Linked DNA regions of Drosophila melanogaster. The protein of the gene in region 2 purifies or fractionates together with the protein of the main gene of each other region. This does not show direct contact. Each region holds a gene or a part of one and is shown on either strand. Other genes may lie near its edges.

The links. Proteins that work in one complex are often made in the same cells at the same time.
Region 1: the proteins of Cen (region 2) and Slmap purify together in Drosophila melanogaster (affinity purification with mass spectrometry, with the first as the bait; one large-scale study listed by BioGRID). This does not show direct contact.
Region 3: the proteins of Cen (region 2) and geminin purify together in Drosophila melanogaster (affinity purification with mass spectrometry, with the first as the bait; one large-scale study listed by BioGRID). This does not show direct contact.

Annotation. Positions count from the first base shown.
Region 1 is NT_033779.5:22,577,530-22,585,084, reverse strand, and holds the start of Slmap (sarcolemma associated protein), read right to left. Parts: upstream 6,014-7,555; 5' UTR 5,833-6,013; intron 5,336-5,832; exon of another isoform or gene 5,265-5,335; 5' UTR 5,245-5,264; coding exon 3,952-5,244; intron 964-3,951; coding exon 403-963; intron 344-402; coding exon 1-343.
Region 2 is NT_033779.5:20,678,421-20,683,702, forward strand, and holds Cen (centrocortin), read right to left. Parts: upstream 3,427-5,282; 5' UTR 3,199-3,426; exon of another isoform or gene 3,114-3,198; 5' UTR 3,073-3,113; coding exon 700-3,072; 3' UTR 501-699; downstream 1-500. Other genes in the region: IKKepsilon (I-kappaB kinase epsilon), read left to right, coding at 1-351; CG2617 (uncharacterized protein), read left to right, coding at 4,029-4,853.
Region 3 is NT_033778.4:6,654,950-6,658,614, forward strand, and holds geminin (geminin), read right to left. Parts: upstream 1,646-3,665; 5' UTR 1,577-1,645; intron 1,506-1,576; 5' UTR 1,281-1,505; coding exon 702-1,280; 3' UTR 514-701; downstream 1-513. Other genes in the region: Opbp (Optix-binding protein), read left to right, coding at 1-161, 223-276; sced (scrambled), read left to right, coding at 2,563-3,665.

The DNA of each region.
Region 1 (7,555 bases), 1.9 Mb from region 2:
TTTCCTCAACGTCTACAAGCTTTTCCTTACTTTCCGCATTAGGGGCTGACAATTTCGTTGCAGCCGAATCCTCTAAAATTGTATGTGTAGTTGAAGAATGGTTTTTAAAGTGATCCACGATTTCGGATGTATTTCTGCTAACGAACTCTGTTGGAACTGAATCGTTTGCCATATCCTCCTCCTCCTTAACTTTGCATTCAAAGGCTTCATCGTCACCATTAAAAATAGCTTTAAGCACTGAAGATCCTTCTTCTCCCTTGCCAAGATCGGAGTTCTTTAGCAATCTTAAGACGTTCGATTTATAATTGCCTTCTTCTAAATCGGGATTACTTAGTTTTAGCTTCTAGAATTAAATAGGAATATATTAATATATAATAGCATTAAGACTGCTATAAGCATTACCCTTTTTTTCGTTTCAGACAACACATTTTTAGCTGGTGACACAGACAAAATATCATCGTCAGAACTTTCATTATCATCCCTTTCATTTAGCGCTCTATCTTGAGCGTGGTCATAATCGTCAAGATTTATTGTATCTAAGTTTTTTAAGACAATTCGCTCCTTCAAATGTTCAGTATCAGACTCAGATAAATCGCGATGGATTCGCGAGACCTGCAGACGAAGCTCCTTAAGCTCGAGCTCCTGCGTCGTCAGCTTTCCATTTAGCACCTCTAAGCTGCGTGATTCTTGCTCTTTAGCCTCTTGTTCTTGGCGCACTGACTCCTTCTTGAATTCCATGTACTCCTGCTGAAGTTCCTCTAACCGGGTATTGAAATCAGTCAGCGTCTGCTTTAGTGTTAGAACTTGAGCGCGAAGTATGCCGCACTCGTTTTCAGAAGTGGCGTAGGCCATCTCCATCTTAGAGAGCATTTGCATAGCATCGCAGCGTTCCTGGTAGACCTTCCGCAGGGCCTCTTTGGCAGTCAACTGGTACGTTGTTTTGTCCTCAAGAAGCTTTACAATCTATTGAAGACAAAGAGAGAAATATTAAAAAAAAAAAATCAAATTTTACCAAAATATACTTAAAATTTTTTGCAGACAAAATTTTAATATTCAAAGGAGCTACTGACCATTAAGTCGGAAAAAGGTCCTCTTCGAGTTTTTTAAACCCATTTATAAGGGTATATTAATTTCTTTCAAAAAGCTAAAAGGTTGAATTTTCGAGCTATAGAATATTTCCTGTATTCGGTACCTTTTTGTTGTTTTGTCTTATTTCACGCACAAGTTTAAAATCGCATATTCGTATGGTCTCAATTTGCTTGCCTATCTGTATTTTTACCGTTCTGTATGAGTTCTTTGTTTTAGAGCCCTAGAGCACATGTATGTACAGTTTGTCAAGAAACTGTTTACACACTGTAAAATAAGTTGACTTTTTGACTTTAAAGCTAAAAATAAAGGGTTTTTTGCTTAATTAAACGCAATTTTTTTATAAAATATTATTAAACAATATTTATTTTACTTATAAATCAAAAAACAAATTAAAAATATTAAATATACAAGAAAATAAACAACAAATTCCAAGTTTACACACTTTTGAGACTGTCAAGAAACTCTTTACACAAAACACTAAATCGAAGTTTAATCCTAAATTTTTTAATTATTTTATTAAAATTTTAAAAGTTTTGGTATGTAGTATGTTCCCCATTGGCTTTAGCTACAAGTTGAAGCCTTTTTTTCATGGATTGGACAAGTTTTTGCAGGTCATATTCAAACGGGATCTTTTCACACTCTTCGACTATTACAGTCATAAGCTGTTGTTGTGTTTTAGGTCCCTTTTTGCCACCTTCTTCTTTAAGTAGGTCCACAAATTTTCAATGGGGTTCAGATCAGGACTCTGAGGGGGCGTATCGATCACTTTACCACAGTTATTAAGGCGCCAGGTGCGTACATTGCACTCTTTATGTTTCTGATCATGTCTTGGTAAAACTTAAAATTTGGCTTGTTGTTGCTAACCAGACTAATTTTTTCTACACTGGCCTTCAAATTTGTTTTCTAACATTTCTAGATATTGCACGGCATTTATTGTGCTCTCAATTAAGGCTAGTTTTCCCACTCCACGGCTGGTGATACAGCCCCACACCATCAGTGACATTTTTCCAAATTTTATCGTTGGAATGATATTTTGTTTTTCTAGCGCACTCAACGGTTTGCGCCATACTCTGCTTGGCCCGTCGTTATAAAAGAGCATCATTTTTGTTTCGTCACCAAATATGACGTCATCCCAGTACTCTTCCGCATGATCTATCATGCTCACAGCGAATAAATGACGCTTTTCAATATTGGCATCTGACAGCAAAGGGTTTTTCCTTGCAACTCTTGAAGAGTACCTATGGCGTAGGATGACTTGGAGCACAGTTTCGTGTGACACAGCTAGGTGACATTCTTGCCTGATATCCAGAGCAAGTGATCTGACCGAGATTCGGGGGTTCGCAATCACTATTCGCATAATAAAGCGGTCTACACGCTTTTTAATTTTAATTTTCCGCCCACCACCACTCTTAGGTTCAAGCCTGCCCTCTTTTTCCGAGCCTTTTAAAACATTGTAGACGGTCTTACGGGATACAGGAAACATTTATACTAATTCTGGAAAAGATTTTCCCAACTGGTGGTTATAGTTTATTAATTGGGTAACTTTAAAAGTTAATCTCTTTCCAGGCATTTTATTAAATTTAATAATTCGCTTTAAGCACGTTTGATCAGCAAAATTTCACAAGCAAAGTCAACAAAATTTCAATAGAAGCGTTGTAAAAAGCAATGCAAAGCCAAAAATAACGGAAAAATCGAGTTCGTTCTAAGAAAAAGAACAAAACAAAGTAGGAAAACAAAATGTGTAAAGAGTTTCTTGACAGTCTCAAAAGTGTGTAAACTTGGAATTTGTTGTTTATTTTCTTGTATATTTAATATTTTTAATTTGTTTTTTGATTTATAAGTAAAATAAATATTGTTTAATTATATTTTATAAAAAAATTGCGTTTAATTAAGCAAAAAACCCTTTATTTTTAGCTTTAAAGTCAAAAATTCAACTTATTTCACAGTGTGTAAACAGTTTCTTGACAAACTGTATATACATTAGAATATAACTCTTTTAATTCTGTAAATTAGAAAGTGTGGGGTGGGAAACAGCTTTTGGTATCAAATAGGAGTCCCTTATTTTGTACAAAAATAATAGCAATGATCTGTTCGTATCAAATGTGAGGATTGGGTCAGCAAAGCACAATTTGTTTAAGGATTTATTTTTTCTGTTATATAAAAACTGAGAAAAAAAGAGAAAATATACTTTAACCTAAAAATTAGAAACAAATAAAAAGTAACGTTTACAAAATATGTATAACAAATTACTCCACTGGCACCAATCGGTGGCACCAAAATACCATTTGCTCACAATTAAAATACAATACACCTTATACAAATGATTATAATTAATGCGTATTCAAATAATAAAAATGAAGGAATCAATGAATGAATAACAAAATGAAACTCTAAAGCCATTATATACTGCTTTGTTTTAAAGGCACAACCACTAGATATAATTTGATGGGACCGAATTAAATTGCTTAGATTCAGATTTGCTTAATTTTTGTGCATTAAACATTTTGATTATGTTTGTAGTTAAGACAATTCATTATAAGATTTGGTTCAATTTATTTTATCTTGTCCGGTTTGGGAAACAGATTTATTAAAAATTTGCATATTGAAATCTTTAAATTAAAAGGAAAACACAAGTGTGCAAAAATGGTTTTTTAGAGATTCCGTTATACAGGCTAACGGAAAGGTGTGTACGTATTTATGAACAAACTTTTTTAATTGTTCGTGTGAAAGGTTTTTGAGGTTTTGCTTAGTTTCATGCTTAATACCAGTATTCTTGCTTTCATAGTTGTCCAGGATCACAGGATAAAATTGTAAAAAATAAACAAAGGCTTAATTTTTTAATCGGTCGCTAATGGGACTTACCTCGTTTCGCAGTGCATTCTCTGGAATGTTCTTTTCCATCATTTGCAGTTTCTTTTCCAGAATATTTATCTTGTGAAGCAATTGGTCTTCAGTGATCATGCTTTGCCAACACATCGCAGAGTTCTTTCTGGTGTTATCAAGGACGCCTTGCAAGCTGCTTAATTTAGCTTTCAGAGATTTTTCCCTTTGTGCAGCCTCTTGGAGGAACGAGCTTAGGCGCTGCACTTCATCAAAGCTGATTCGGTTAGGCACAGTCAACATCATCTGCTCTGCCTCAACTGAAATGGCCTCTTGTCCATTGGGTAGAAAGAGGGCGACACGGGCCAGGATACACCCGTGTACCTCCTGACGTGAATTCTCAATTACCTCAACGCCGAACTTCACAATATCGCCATAATGTAGTTCCGCTGGATCACTACCCAACTTGTTGTCGTTAATAAAGGTACCGTTGCTGGATTTTGTGTCTTTGACCCAGAATTTACCGTCTGGAGTGTACCACAAAATCGCATGGTTTCTTGACAATACTTTACAGTCAAATATAGCGTTCCCCTCACCCGCCTTACTTTTAGCTATAAGGCGGCCCACCTTGCAATCCTGGTTGGGCTGCAGCAATATAGATCTCGTTTCAAACTTGTGCGACTTTGGTTCACATAGGAGTACGATTTTTGCTGCACCCTTACATGGCGTTGGGGCAGACTCCAATCCTATGTCTAGATCTACGCCAGAAGTTGGGGGCACTGAAGAGACTTGTAAAGTGCCGCATTCCGATGCCACCTCCCTTTGTAAAGCACTATTGTTTAGTACTCCTAGTGGGCTAAACAGACTGCAGGCAGTAGTTACTCGAACTCCAACCCCGGTGTTATTTGCATTCAGCACAGAGTTCATGGCCATATTCATAGCATGCTGGGAAACTTCAGCCGGACGTCGGTCAATACATACTGTGTTGGAATCACAAAGTTCCATATTATTATTTTCCTGGTTCTTCGTGGACGCCTCGTTGTTACTATCAGCCATATCTTCTTTTATGTCCATTATATGAAAGAAATTGTCCTGCTCCAAATTTTTTTCAGTTTCCATGTTTAAAGCGTATTGCGCCTCCTCTGGCTTCACAGCAGGTTCTTCCCCGGATGGATATCTGGTCGTCTGAGGTAATTCCGTGGCCGTGTCGGTTGTGCCAGTTCTGTTTAATGCCGTTGATCCGACTGCTCCTGATGCTGGCGTCGGCGATAATGAACTTGACGTCTGGTCTTCATCAACATTATTTTTTAACCACTCATTGCACACCAAGACCATTACTTTACATCCAAACAAACCTTTGGGGATACGAGAACAAAAGCGGATTAACAAGTTAGTAATTAGTAATACACGAGTGGCTGCTGTTTGACAAATCCGACTAGCCGAAACATTGACAATGAATCCAAATTTTAAAGGCCTGCTTTAATTTAATGTAACTATAAAATTTGTCTTTTCCCGATGAAAATTTGAAAAGGTTTCCGACCACATAAGATATACACACATATGTAAATGCATACATACATACATACATACATACAGAATGAATTTGCATTTGATACAAAAATATGTACGTTCAATAGCAATGTTTTCAAGAATTATTGTAAACAAAAAACTATGCCATTAGTTGGTCATTCTTATGAATTAAGCAATTTTCGAGTTAAGGATGTGCCGATTAATTACGACAACTTAAACCAGGCATTAAAAATGTTTGGAACGGTTGGAAATTGTTTACTTTTTTGATTTAAAAATAAATTATATGGTACGGGGAGGACCGCTTAAGTTCAAGAACATTAAATTCGCAATAATATAAATGTTTGATATTGCGCAACGTTTTTACCTTTATTTTACAATGCACGCTTGGCTTACCTTGGAATTTTGTAATTTTCCTGTATTAATTGTTGCAACCTTCTACCCGTGTTTTTTAGTTTTCTTTAACTTTGAACAATTGTTGTACAAAAACACCTGGTTTCGCGGTAAATTTGTGTGCATACTTAAAATATTTCCGTCAAAATAGCGACAATCAACTGGTGATGAACACGGAACGATGAAAAAAGCGCTAAGCATTATTGTATATAATAATATACAATATACCAGTTTATATACCATATACCAGTTTCTATGTTGACATGCAACGATAGAACCATTCCATTCTGCAATTTCATTTCCAATAAATACAAACAATAATTTTCTAAAATTTTTATAAGAAATAAGATTTAAGAATTTTAAAATGTTTTAGAGCAATGTCGTATGCTAGAAAGGTTAAGAGTATGTTTGTAGTCGGCATACAAATGTTCTGCAATTACATTTCCAATAAAAAGAAACAAATAATTTTCTAAAATTGTTATAATAAGAAAGGAGATTTCGGAATTTTAAAATGTTTTAGAGCAATGTCGTATGCTAGAAAGGTTAAGGGTATGTTTGTAGTCGGCATAAAAATGTGTTTCCGAACCTTAAAGTATAGTGTACTCCTGATCATAAACACTATTCGATCAGGTCCGGTCTGTCTGACTGAAGGCTGTGATCTCGCAAACTACAAAATAGAGCTGGAAGAAACATCGGAGATAGCGCTACATAGATATTTAAAAAAAAATCGGAAACATCGAAATTTTCGGACATCGATGTTAGATTTTTCTGTTTTACCCATCACCATTTGCAGGGAAAGATCTTGCTAAGCTAATCGGCTAATGGCAAGACAGACAAATGTATTAAGTGGGGCAAGACACCAAACAAGTGCGAATAATACTAACTTGTCTTGCCACGTAATGAGGATACATATTAATTTAACAGTCAGTGAATTGCCACAAAGGCAACAGCAGTCAATTCTGTCATTTATTGACAAAATAATGAAACGTTGACGAATCGAAAACAAGTGCTCTACGCTACTACATTGGCTCAGACTTGCGCGGATTCGGATTTCGACGAAACAACTTATTTTTCTGAAAACATTGCAAACTTAATCCGCACAGTAATTGATGAACGCCCATATAGTTTGAAACAATAGAAATAGGTTATAGAAAATAAAATATATATGTATAGAAAATCCAGTTGGAATGGCGCGTTTTACCTGCTGAAACGATTTTTGATTACAAAGGTTGCTATCGCAACTGTTCTACTGAACCAAAGTCTCTAGAATAATAAAGAATTATTGTAGTGTCTTTGACTGAACACTCTCAAAGGGTTGGTTATTGCCGTAAATATCGAATAAAATATTCATTTTCGAGGATTTGAAGGCAATACTTTAACCTTTAGAGCATGCAACGGTTAAAGTTTACAAATTGTTCAAAATTGTGGGCGTGACCGGGTTGACGGCTTTTGGTCGTTAGAGTAGGCGTGTAAAAAGTTTTTGGCATATCGATATAAATTTTAGCGACTAATAGAATTATGAAAAAAATATCGAAAAAAGGTTTAAAAATGTGTGTTTTGCGCGGCATTTTTGGGAGGTTTTAGGGCGTTAGAGTGGGGCTGGCAGGTTTGTGTGCGTGGCAACATGGGTCAACCAACTTGCGCTGCGTCTTTTTCTGTGTTCTAGCTTTTTAAAATTCCTGGGATCTCGACGTTCATACGGAGAGAGGCCAGATAGACTCGGCTA
Region 2 (5,282 bases):
AACGTAAATCCGACAGTGGCACAAATCGCAGAGTGCCTGGCGGACTGGTATAAGTTGGCTCAGACCGTCTACCTTAAAACTCAAATTTTGGAGAAGGACGTGCGCGATTGCGAAAGAAAGTTGAACGGAATACGCGATGAGTTGTATCACGTTAAGTCGGAGCTGAAGCTGGATGTGGACACAAAGACCATAAACAACAATAATCAGCTGGCCAAGATAGAGGAGCGGAATCGGCTAAGGGTCATGCAGCAGCAGCAACAGGAAGTTATGGCTGTCATGAGAACGAACAGCGATATAATAAGTTTGCTTAGCAAACTGGGCATTACCAACGGAAGTCTGGAAAGTAGTTAGACGGGCATATCATGAAAGTGCAAGAATATTTTATTTGCCTTTACTTTGTAAGTTAACAATAAATGTTTACTTTTTTATATCTGAATTTGTAAAGCAACTACATATATTCCTATTGAAACTTGGCTGAATATCGTGAAAGAGTAAGATTTCTGTAGGTCATTAAATTATTTATTTTATCATGCTGAAATAAAATTAAATTTCCGATTATAGTTATTTAGTTATTGTTATTTAACTGTCTATACATGAAAAAGCGGACTAGACTGCATGGCACACACAATTTAAAAATGGTAGAATGCCCTATGGCTAGAATGCACTGTTTAATTGCTTATTTACATTCTCTAAACAAGTTTACTTTTGACGAAACTGATGATGATGACTCTTGCGAATGTTGGCTCCGTTGTGTTGCTGTCGCTGGGAATGTGATCTTGTGGGTCCATGTTCGCCGGCATCGGCCCGGCGCAAAACTTCGGCGTAGGATAAGTCTAACTTTTTAAGTTTATGTAAGTCTTGCGATACCGTGTTATGATAAAACTCGACGCCATTGAGCTCTATTACTCGGCCCCGAGAAGTTTGGGGAGTATTCATATTCTTGTTATAGATCACCATGGGAGAGCCATTCCAGTTGCTTGAGGATGGAGTTGTCCGTCTGCGGTTACTGCGTCCGAATTCAGCATTCAATGTATCCGTACACATCTTTGAGCTCCCTTGTCCACCACCACGGTTGTTCATGGCCAGAGGACTGTTCCTGGGAGTAAATTCCCGGGAGTTAAACAATTCGATGCGATCTCCAGATGAGCTTTGGTTTCGGTGCTTTCGTCGGTTCTTCTTCTTGATTCCGACACCTACGGTTAGATATTCGAGTGGTTCGCGCTTGAGTGGAGTAAGTATCTGGCCATTCTCCCTTATGGGTTTATAATTCGGTTCGCCGACAGTTGTTTCCTTCGAGGAGCTGTTTAACAAAGTGGATTGCGTTAGGGACGATTGGTTTTGTTGGTTTCGGACATCAAAGATGTGTTTTTTGGCTGTCTTCCGCTCCAGTTTGGTAACGCACTCGGACATTGCAATGGACTGGTTGGATATAACTGAGGATACGACGCTCTGTGTGTCGTCAATGAAGTCATCTGGAGATTCCTCCCTCTCGGGTGTTACCGGGGGTACTTTGGCCGCCACCAAGGGTAATTTTTCTGTAATCTGTGCGTCGTCATGCAGGGACGGAAGCTTGTCTTCTTCGTTATTATCAGCTGCCTTCTTGAGCACTCCAAATATCTCCTTGAAGAGTTCCCTGTACTCCGGGCGATTACGGAAATGAGATTCAATGGGGCTGACGTCGTCATAAATACTGAATTTACAATCGTTTCCATTACTTATTGAGCAAAGGAAGTAACTCGGTCGCTCGTCAGTTTGCGTAGACTTGTTGCTAGTTTCATCCGAGAATCCCGACGATGTAGTTTCTGATTCCGAAAACTCGGTTGGAGTGCGCTTACGTGTTGAATCCAACATAAGGTCAGATTCCTTTGAGCTGTTAACAATTGTTTCTGATTTTTTGCCTTGACTGGACTCGGTCATGGTCTTCCCATCTGGATTGCTGGTGAAGTTGCTCTTGACCGCATTCGAGGTTCTCTTCACCTCCACCAGAGCTTCATATTTCTCGACTAGGTCCCGATAAGGATTTGGTTTGTCGCTAGAGTTGGGATTGAGGTCCTCGGGAATCCGGAAGCGTTCCTTATAATCCGCACCACTATTATCGCATTTCGAGGTGCTTTCGCTTAGTATGCTGCGATCGTCATCTTCGTAGATTTCTTCGGTTGGGGCAATGGAGGATTGATCATCCATATTGGTGTTGCTTTCGTTAATATCCCTCAGGCAGCGACTACACATTTGGCCTTGTCTCACGTCGTCCAGGAGGCTGAACTCCTCGTGCATCGACATTGTTCCCTCATTGGCACTGTTCTCCAGCAGACGTGTCTGCAGACCTTGGTTGTCTTGGATTATGGTCACCAACTGCTCCTCCAGCTCGGTGCACCGCTGCTGTTCGGCCAAGAAGTCACGTTTTAACACCTCCATTTCGCTGAGCAGCTTTACCAATTCCTCGTTGTCTTCACCCTTAACGGCGGTCCTCTCGCACATGGTGGCATTACTGAAGGAGATATCCTCCAATCCTGTCGAGTTCGCTATGGCCATAACATCTAGTTTGGAGAACTCAACACTCTGCTCCTTGCACAGCGATTGAATGCTGTGACTGGACACAGAACCCTCGGTCGAATGCTGCATCCTATAGCGTTCCTGCTGGTACTGATCCACCTTCCGCCGCTCGGTGCTCAGGGATTGCCGAGCATCGCTCAGAAGTTGACTCAGTTCCTCGCAGCGGGCTTCCAGGACTTCCGTGTTGGTGGTCAGCGTCTTAATCTGCTTCTTGTCCCGATTCTTCTCCAGATTTAGCCGCTGATTGGCACGCTCCAGATCCTGAATGCCCACTTCCAGCTGCTCGTAGACCTTAAGCCGTGAATCATTCACCTCGGTCATCGCATTAATGTGCTTGCGCAGATGCAAGATCTCCAGTTCCTGCTCATCCCCCTTAATCTTGTACTCCTTGATGAAGGTTTCCAGCTCCTTATTGCGTTCCAGGAGCGTTTTTCCCAGCTCTGCTGCCAATTGTAGGTCATCGAGCATGAACTGCGATACGTTTTCACAGCCAGCCGAACCGTGATTGGATTCCTCCATCTTGGACTTGGACCTTTCTAAGCTTGGGCTTGATGCGAACTCTGGCGAAAATTTAAAGATTTAATCGATTTTAGTTCATTTAGCAGCAGAGCTTTGTGAGCAAAGCAAAACTCAAACAGTAATTACTTGGCAAATGTCCTCTCAATGGTGGAAAACTGCTACAACAGTAACTTTTTTACTGTTTCATCCCCAAAAACAAAAAGTATGGTATTGCAGCGAGTGCAGAAAAAGCCCTACGTACTAGGGCGCAACTGCATGTACGAATAGTTAATTAATGCTTTTTATTATACACAATCGACCTGCAGACAAAGAACCGAAATGAACTTCCTAGCAGAACCGGAAATAAATTTATAATAGGATTATTCGCATTAGGGGGATTCCTGCTCAGATAGGGCTATGATTTAAGCTCGCCTTTCTTATATAACCCCTCGCGAGTTGTTTGGGGAAACCTTGTTGGATTCTGAAATACCAGCAAAATGCACGGATGTATAATTATATTTTTGAGCTTTCATTGTCTTTGAAAGAAGCATGCAATATCATAATAGATCAGTACATGAATACCCATATTAATTATTACGCATATTTATAGTTGTCAAAATTAATAAATCCAAATTGTTATGTCTCCTTAGTAATTCCTTTGCTCACAGAAGCAAAATATTTGTTTGAACATTATTAATTTAAGTTACCCTAGAATTTGGCGTATTTAAAGTTCAGATACCATCTAAGTTTAAATATATCTAGGAAGTGCAACCGATAATGTGTGGGGTGTTAAAAATAAATATATATATTAATTATACAAATATTTAAGATAAGTAATTATTTGACGCTACCTTATCGCAACGATAGCTTGGCTTTAATTACCAACCACCGCCTGGTCACACTAAGCGGCCGGCGTTCTTGTTTTGATTTTGTGTTTCTTCCTTTTCTTAATTCGAGGACAGTATGAGCCCCCCGCCATGCTGGACGCTCTAATTCGGGCAGCGGAGCTTGTGGATCTGGTCCTGCTGCGTCCGCTGGCCAGCGTGATTGATGCAGTGATTACTGGCGTGTACTACTTCCTGTGGGGCAGCTACCTCGTCGGCTTCTGTTTGGTGGAGGGCAGCAGGAAAGGATGGAATCTGTTGAGATGCGCGGTCAGGAATATCAACGAGGGCATCCGCGACTTGGGCCTCATCACGCTAGATGTGGCGGACTACTTCTACGGCGGCACCAAAGGCGGGCTCAAGAATGTACTCGATTTTGGTCACTGCATATCCCGATTCATCTGCAACTTACTCATCGATCTGGGTGATGGCATCTTGTGGCTGCTGATGCTGCTGCCGAGGGCCATACTATTCCTCTGGGACTGCCTCCTAGACTTTGTGGTGCACTCAATCGTGGCCCATGGCTTGAGCTTGCTGAACAGTGCGTTCCGGGCCTCGATAGGATTGGCCCTGCTCCTCGTTCTCTATATGTTCCGCCGCTATGTGTACCTGATGCTCATCTACCTGCTGCAACGTGGACGCATTGAAATCTCGACGAAGACGCAAAGCGTTTACCTATGGACCCATCATAAATTGCAACACTTCATACACAATGTTTGGTATGTGTCAGAGAACGCAGGATCCGCGAGTCCAGAACGCTGTGTCGTGTGCATGGCTCAAAGCAGGAACGTAGTAGTCATGCCATGCCGGCACCTCTGCCTCTGCAAAGAGTGCTCCCTGCAGCTCGTGCTCCTTTTAGAAGACCGCTGTCCTGTCTGCAGGCACAACATTACGTCGTTCCTGTCAGTTTACGTTTGATATATAAGACTGCCAATTGGAATTTAACTTATAAGTAATTATGATTCTCAGAAGTTAACCAAATGTCTTTGGTTAAGACACTTGTAATAGAAAAAACAAATAATCTTTACAAAGCAGAACAGACAAAACATTTTAATGCAGCTTTCAATTCCCAGACACCTAAAATATCAAGTAAAACAAGTTAAATTGTTTTATGTATTTATTTCAAACCAATGAAAATATACGATTTGTTTTGTATACATTTATGTAAATACGGTTTGGTTTTGCGTATAACTAATTTGCTCAAAAGACAGATATAGAAAAAACGTTTGTTTTGGGCTTACATCGTTTAAGTATATATAATTAAAGATTAAATCGAAATGAAATGATTCGCTTTGCTTGTTATCGTATTGCAGAGTTAATTGAATTGCAAGTTATAGTTCTTCCATC
Region 3 (3,665 bases), on a different chromosome or scaffold from region 2:
ATCCCGCCACCTCAACTGATGCTGCACACGTCGCTGAGACCGATGATTCCGAGACTGCGGTGTTGATAGCGGCAGCCGAGGCAGATGCCGCTTACATAAACGCTGTGGTAAACGATGTAGACATCGTGGGCACCGTACCCACCTACGAAGAGTGCGTTGTGGTGAGTTACTAGTTCTTTGTATCTCTTCCCAAACTTACCTTTTTCTCTTCCTTTATTGCAGTTTGACGTGGATAACTTCCACAGCGAGGAAGTTATTACAGATTGGCTTAAGTAGCAGTTCACAGTTTTACATCCAATAAATATTTGTCTCAAAAATATGTTGTACCTTGAGTATTTTATTTTTGCGTTAGCTCCCCACACATTGAAATCCATCCGCATTGATGTAAGCTAATAAACACATTTGTTTTGATGTAGAATTAATGAAAGGAAAAGAGCATATCTAAACTAGCATATGGATGCGAAATGGTTTATATAAGTTGCACATAAAATACAGGAATACGAATTAAATATTGTGTGCAATTGTGCAAATGTAAAACTTTATTAGGATTATAACTGGCGTGTAACAAGTAAATATATTGCTGGCGTACAATTAGACCAGCCGTTGTGTTGGCTGACGACGAACAGGGATATAAACGCGATATTTAACTACAACTAAATGTAAAACCTTAGACTAAAAAAAACGTGTGATTGGTGTGTAGCCTAGGCGTTGACCTTGTCCTCGTCACCCGTAGTGTCGTCCTCCTCCACCTCGCTGTTGTCCTCTTCGCAGATCTCCTTCAGGACCTCCACCAAATTCTTGGCCTCGTCCAGTTCCTGGCGCATAGTGTCCATCTCCTCCTCAAGCCCCTCGATGCGCTCGTGCAGATGGCGGTTTTCGGTGAGCGAGTCCTCCAGCGCCAGTCGCCGCTGCTCGGCCAGCAGCTTGTAGTAGTTCTCGCCGGGTTCGGCTGTGCTAGTGAGATCCTCTGCCGTGATGGGCTTGTCAGCATTGCCAAGCGGAACGGCCTCAGCATCAGTCTGGGTATCCGCATCCTTTGTGGAAATCGCGGGCGCCGTGTCCACGCATTTGCGCTTGCCGTACTTGGGCGCGACTTGGACGCCGGCCTTCAGACGACTCAGCTGATCCACGATGGAGGCGCGCCCTGAACCAGTGAGGTTCTCCTTATCGTTTACGTTGCCCTGCAAGGGTTTCAGGGTCTGTCTCTGCTGCTTCAGGTGCTCCTTCTGCTCGGCCTCTGTCTCGACTTGGATGTAGACCCTGGCAGCGCTCGAAGACATCTTCGGAGATGTGTATTGTGCTTTCGGTGGGTTTGGTTGTCAGGCGGCAGAGCGTGTGCTACTTGCTTGTCTGTTGTTTATGCATTAATTTGTGCGCAACGCTTCACAGTTTTCCATTCGTTGTAATGGCCGCCAAAAAATGCCGATGCCGCGCGCTGTTGTCCAACACTGTTTGCTCAAGGGGCTGCATCACATGCAATTTCATCCCTCGATTTCGTGTCACGACTATCGCAAAAAGTTACCAAATTATTTTAGGAATGTAAAATTAAGATATCCCTTAAAATATAATTACAAACCTACAAAAATAATGTGAAAAATAACAAATCCTACGACTGCTATGTAGTAGAGTACTTCAAAATATTACCAATCATTCATATTAAATAATTATGTTAATAAAATATTAAATAAAAGCTTGCTGTATTCTTGCTGGTGGATGCTTATCAAAAAAGTATAGTATTAAAATTTCTGTATAAAGCAAAACTAAAAACAAAAAATGCAGCTTACTTTTTGGAAACAGTTTTCTAGCGATGTTTTTAAATTGAAAGAAAACCATACCTACCCTGTGTTTTAAACGACAAAAACAGTTAGACAGATACCTAATTTTAAAGTTAAATTTTTACTTCTTTTGCAAATCATAATTCATACTCAGCCAAGTAGAAGTCAAATATACCCCAATGTCGGATGTAGAATTTTAAATACTAAAAGGAAATGCCTAACATTTTTGAAAACATCATTAGCGTTTTTTAATAATAAATATTAAAATAGCTATAAAGCGAAGTATAAATAGGATTTTAGTTTTTATTTGTTTGGTTTTAGACCTGGTTATGGATCTTGAAAATAATTTAAAAGATTGTGTAAATTAGTTAAGAGATTATAAATAAGAATTGCTTGGATACTACCTTCTTATTAAGCTAGTACTCAAGATGTCCAAATAACATGTAAGCATTTAGCATTTAAAAGTATAAATAAAGAACTTAAAAGAGCTGTGTAGCTTAGGCTGAGCACCTTAAGTTTGATTGATGTATATTGAAGTTATAAATTCATTTGTTGGTCTTCTAGAAACGCGATTTCTGTGATATTCCGCCAGGTGGCAACGCCAGTCACGTCACGAGGACACGAAGGATAAACGTGCGATAAGAGAATAGCCGATAAGAGCTCCACCCAGTCGCAAAAAAGATGTAATTCTCGAAGTAGCGGATATAGATCGTTTACTTTTTTATTTTTCACTCGCAACTCATTCACCGCACCTCCATCCGCCCCACCACGTAGCAGTAGCCCCAAGATGGACCACAACGAAATCTCCATGACTATGGACGCCAAGCTGGATACACACGATAAGCGACCAGTGGCGCTGCGTTACAAGACATGGACCCGCTGCCAAGTGAAAATAGAGGCCATTAAGTGTGTGCCCTGCTTCCTGCGGCTCAGTTTCCAGGCCATGGAGACCGAGTCTCACTCCCAAGAGTGTCACCCCGCTAAACCCATTAGCGTCTCCGTAAACGTTCCGGGCGTCAGCTTGAGCCTGGCTACCTCGCGCACGAAGCAGCACTCGTACGGGCTGTTTTGGACGCAAAATCGGCGGGACTGCTTCATCTATTTCGCCCTGGAAACGGAGACATCCTGCCGACGTCACATGAAATGGATGCGGAAGTCGATTAAGAATCTGGAACTTTATCGCCAGGTCTTTCTAGAACAGCGCCGGCTGAGCAGGGGTCCCGGAGGTCTGGGCCCACTGCCTAACCTGCCGGAAACCCTCGACGCTAGCGCTCTCTCTCCGCGAGTCTCGCAAATATACGAGGAGATTTTTGACGGCAGCCGCATCTCCCGCGTCTCAATCGCATCCGGCATTTACGAAGAGATGAAGCCGTCAGTCATGGAGACTCCTTCACCGCCACCGCTGCCCGCACATCCTTACCGTCAGCGAATAAACACTTTTGAGTGCGCCCAGCTTGGCGAGATTGCGCGGTCCAGCACCAATCCCGAATCGGAGCTGGCCAAGAAGAAGAAATACAAGAACATGCTGGACAACCTGTTCGGGAGTTCACGTCAAAAGCGTTCCGGCAGCACCAGCGAGGTGGCCAATGAACCCAGCGATGAGGTCCTGCCACTGTATGAGAATGCCCCCACGCCGGAGCCTGTGCTTCCGGTAAAGCGCACATCCCAGTTGAACAAGTCTCAGCGTAATAGCTTCTCAAGTCCGGACTTGTCCAAACTCAATCTGCTGGACACCTTTGGAGAATACTTCGAGGCCCAGAACCATGAGTCGAGCATGGAGATAAACATTAGTCTGGATGAGTCGGTCATTGAGCCGATCTCTCGCAATGAGATTATTGCGCAAATATCTAGCCAATTGGGCAAAGCAGACTCTTTGGAAAGTCTGAATGT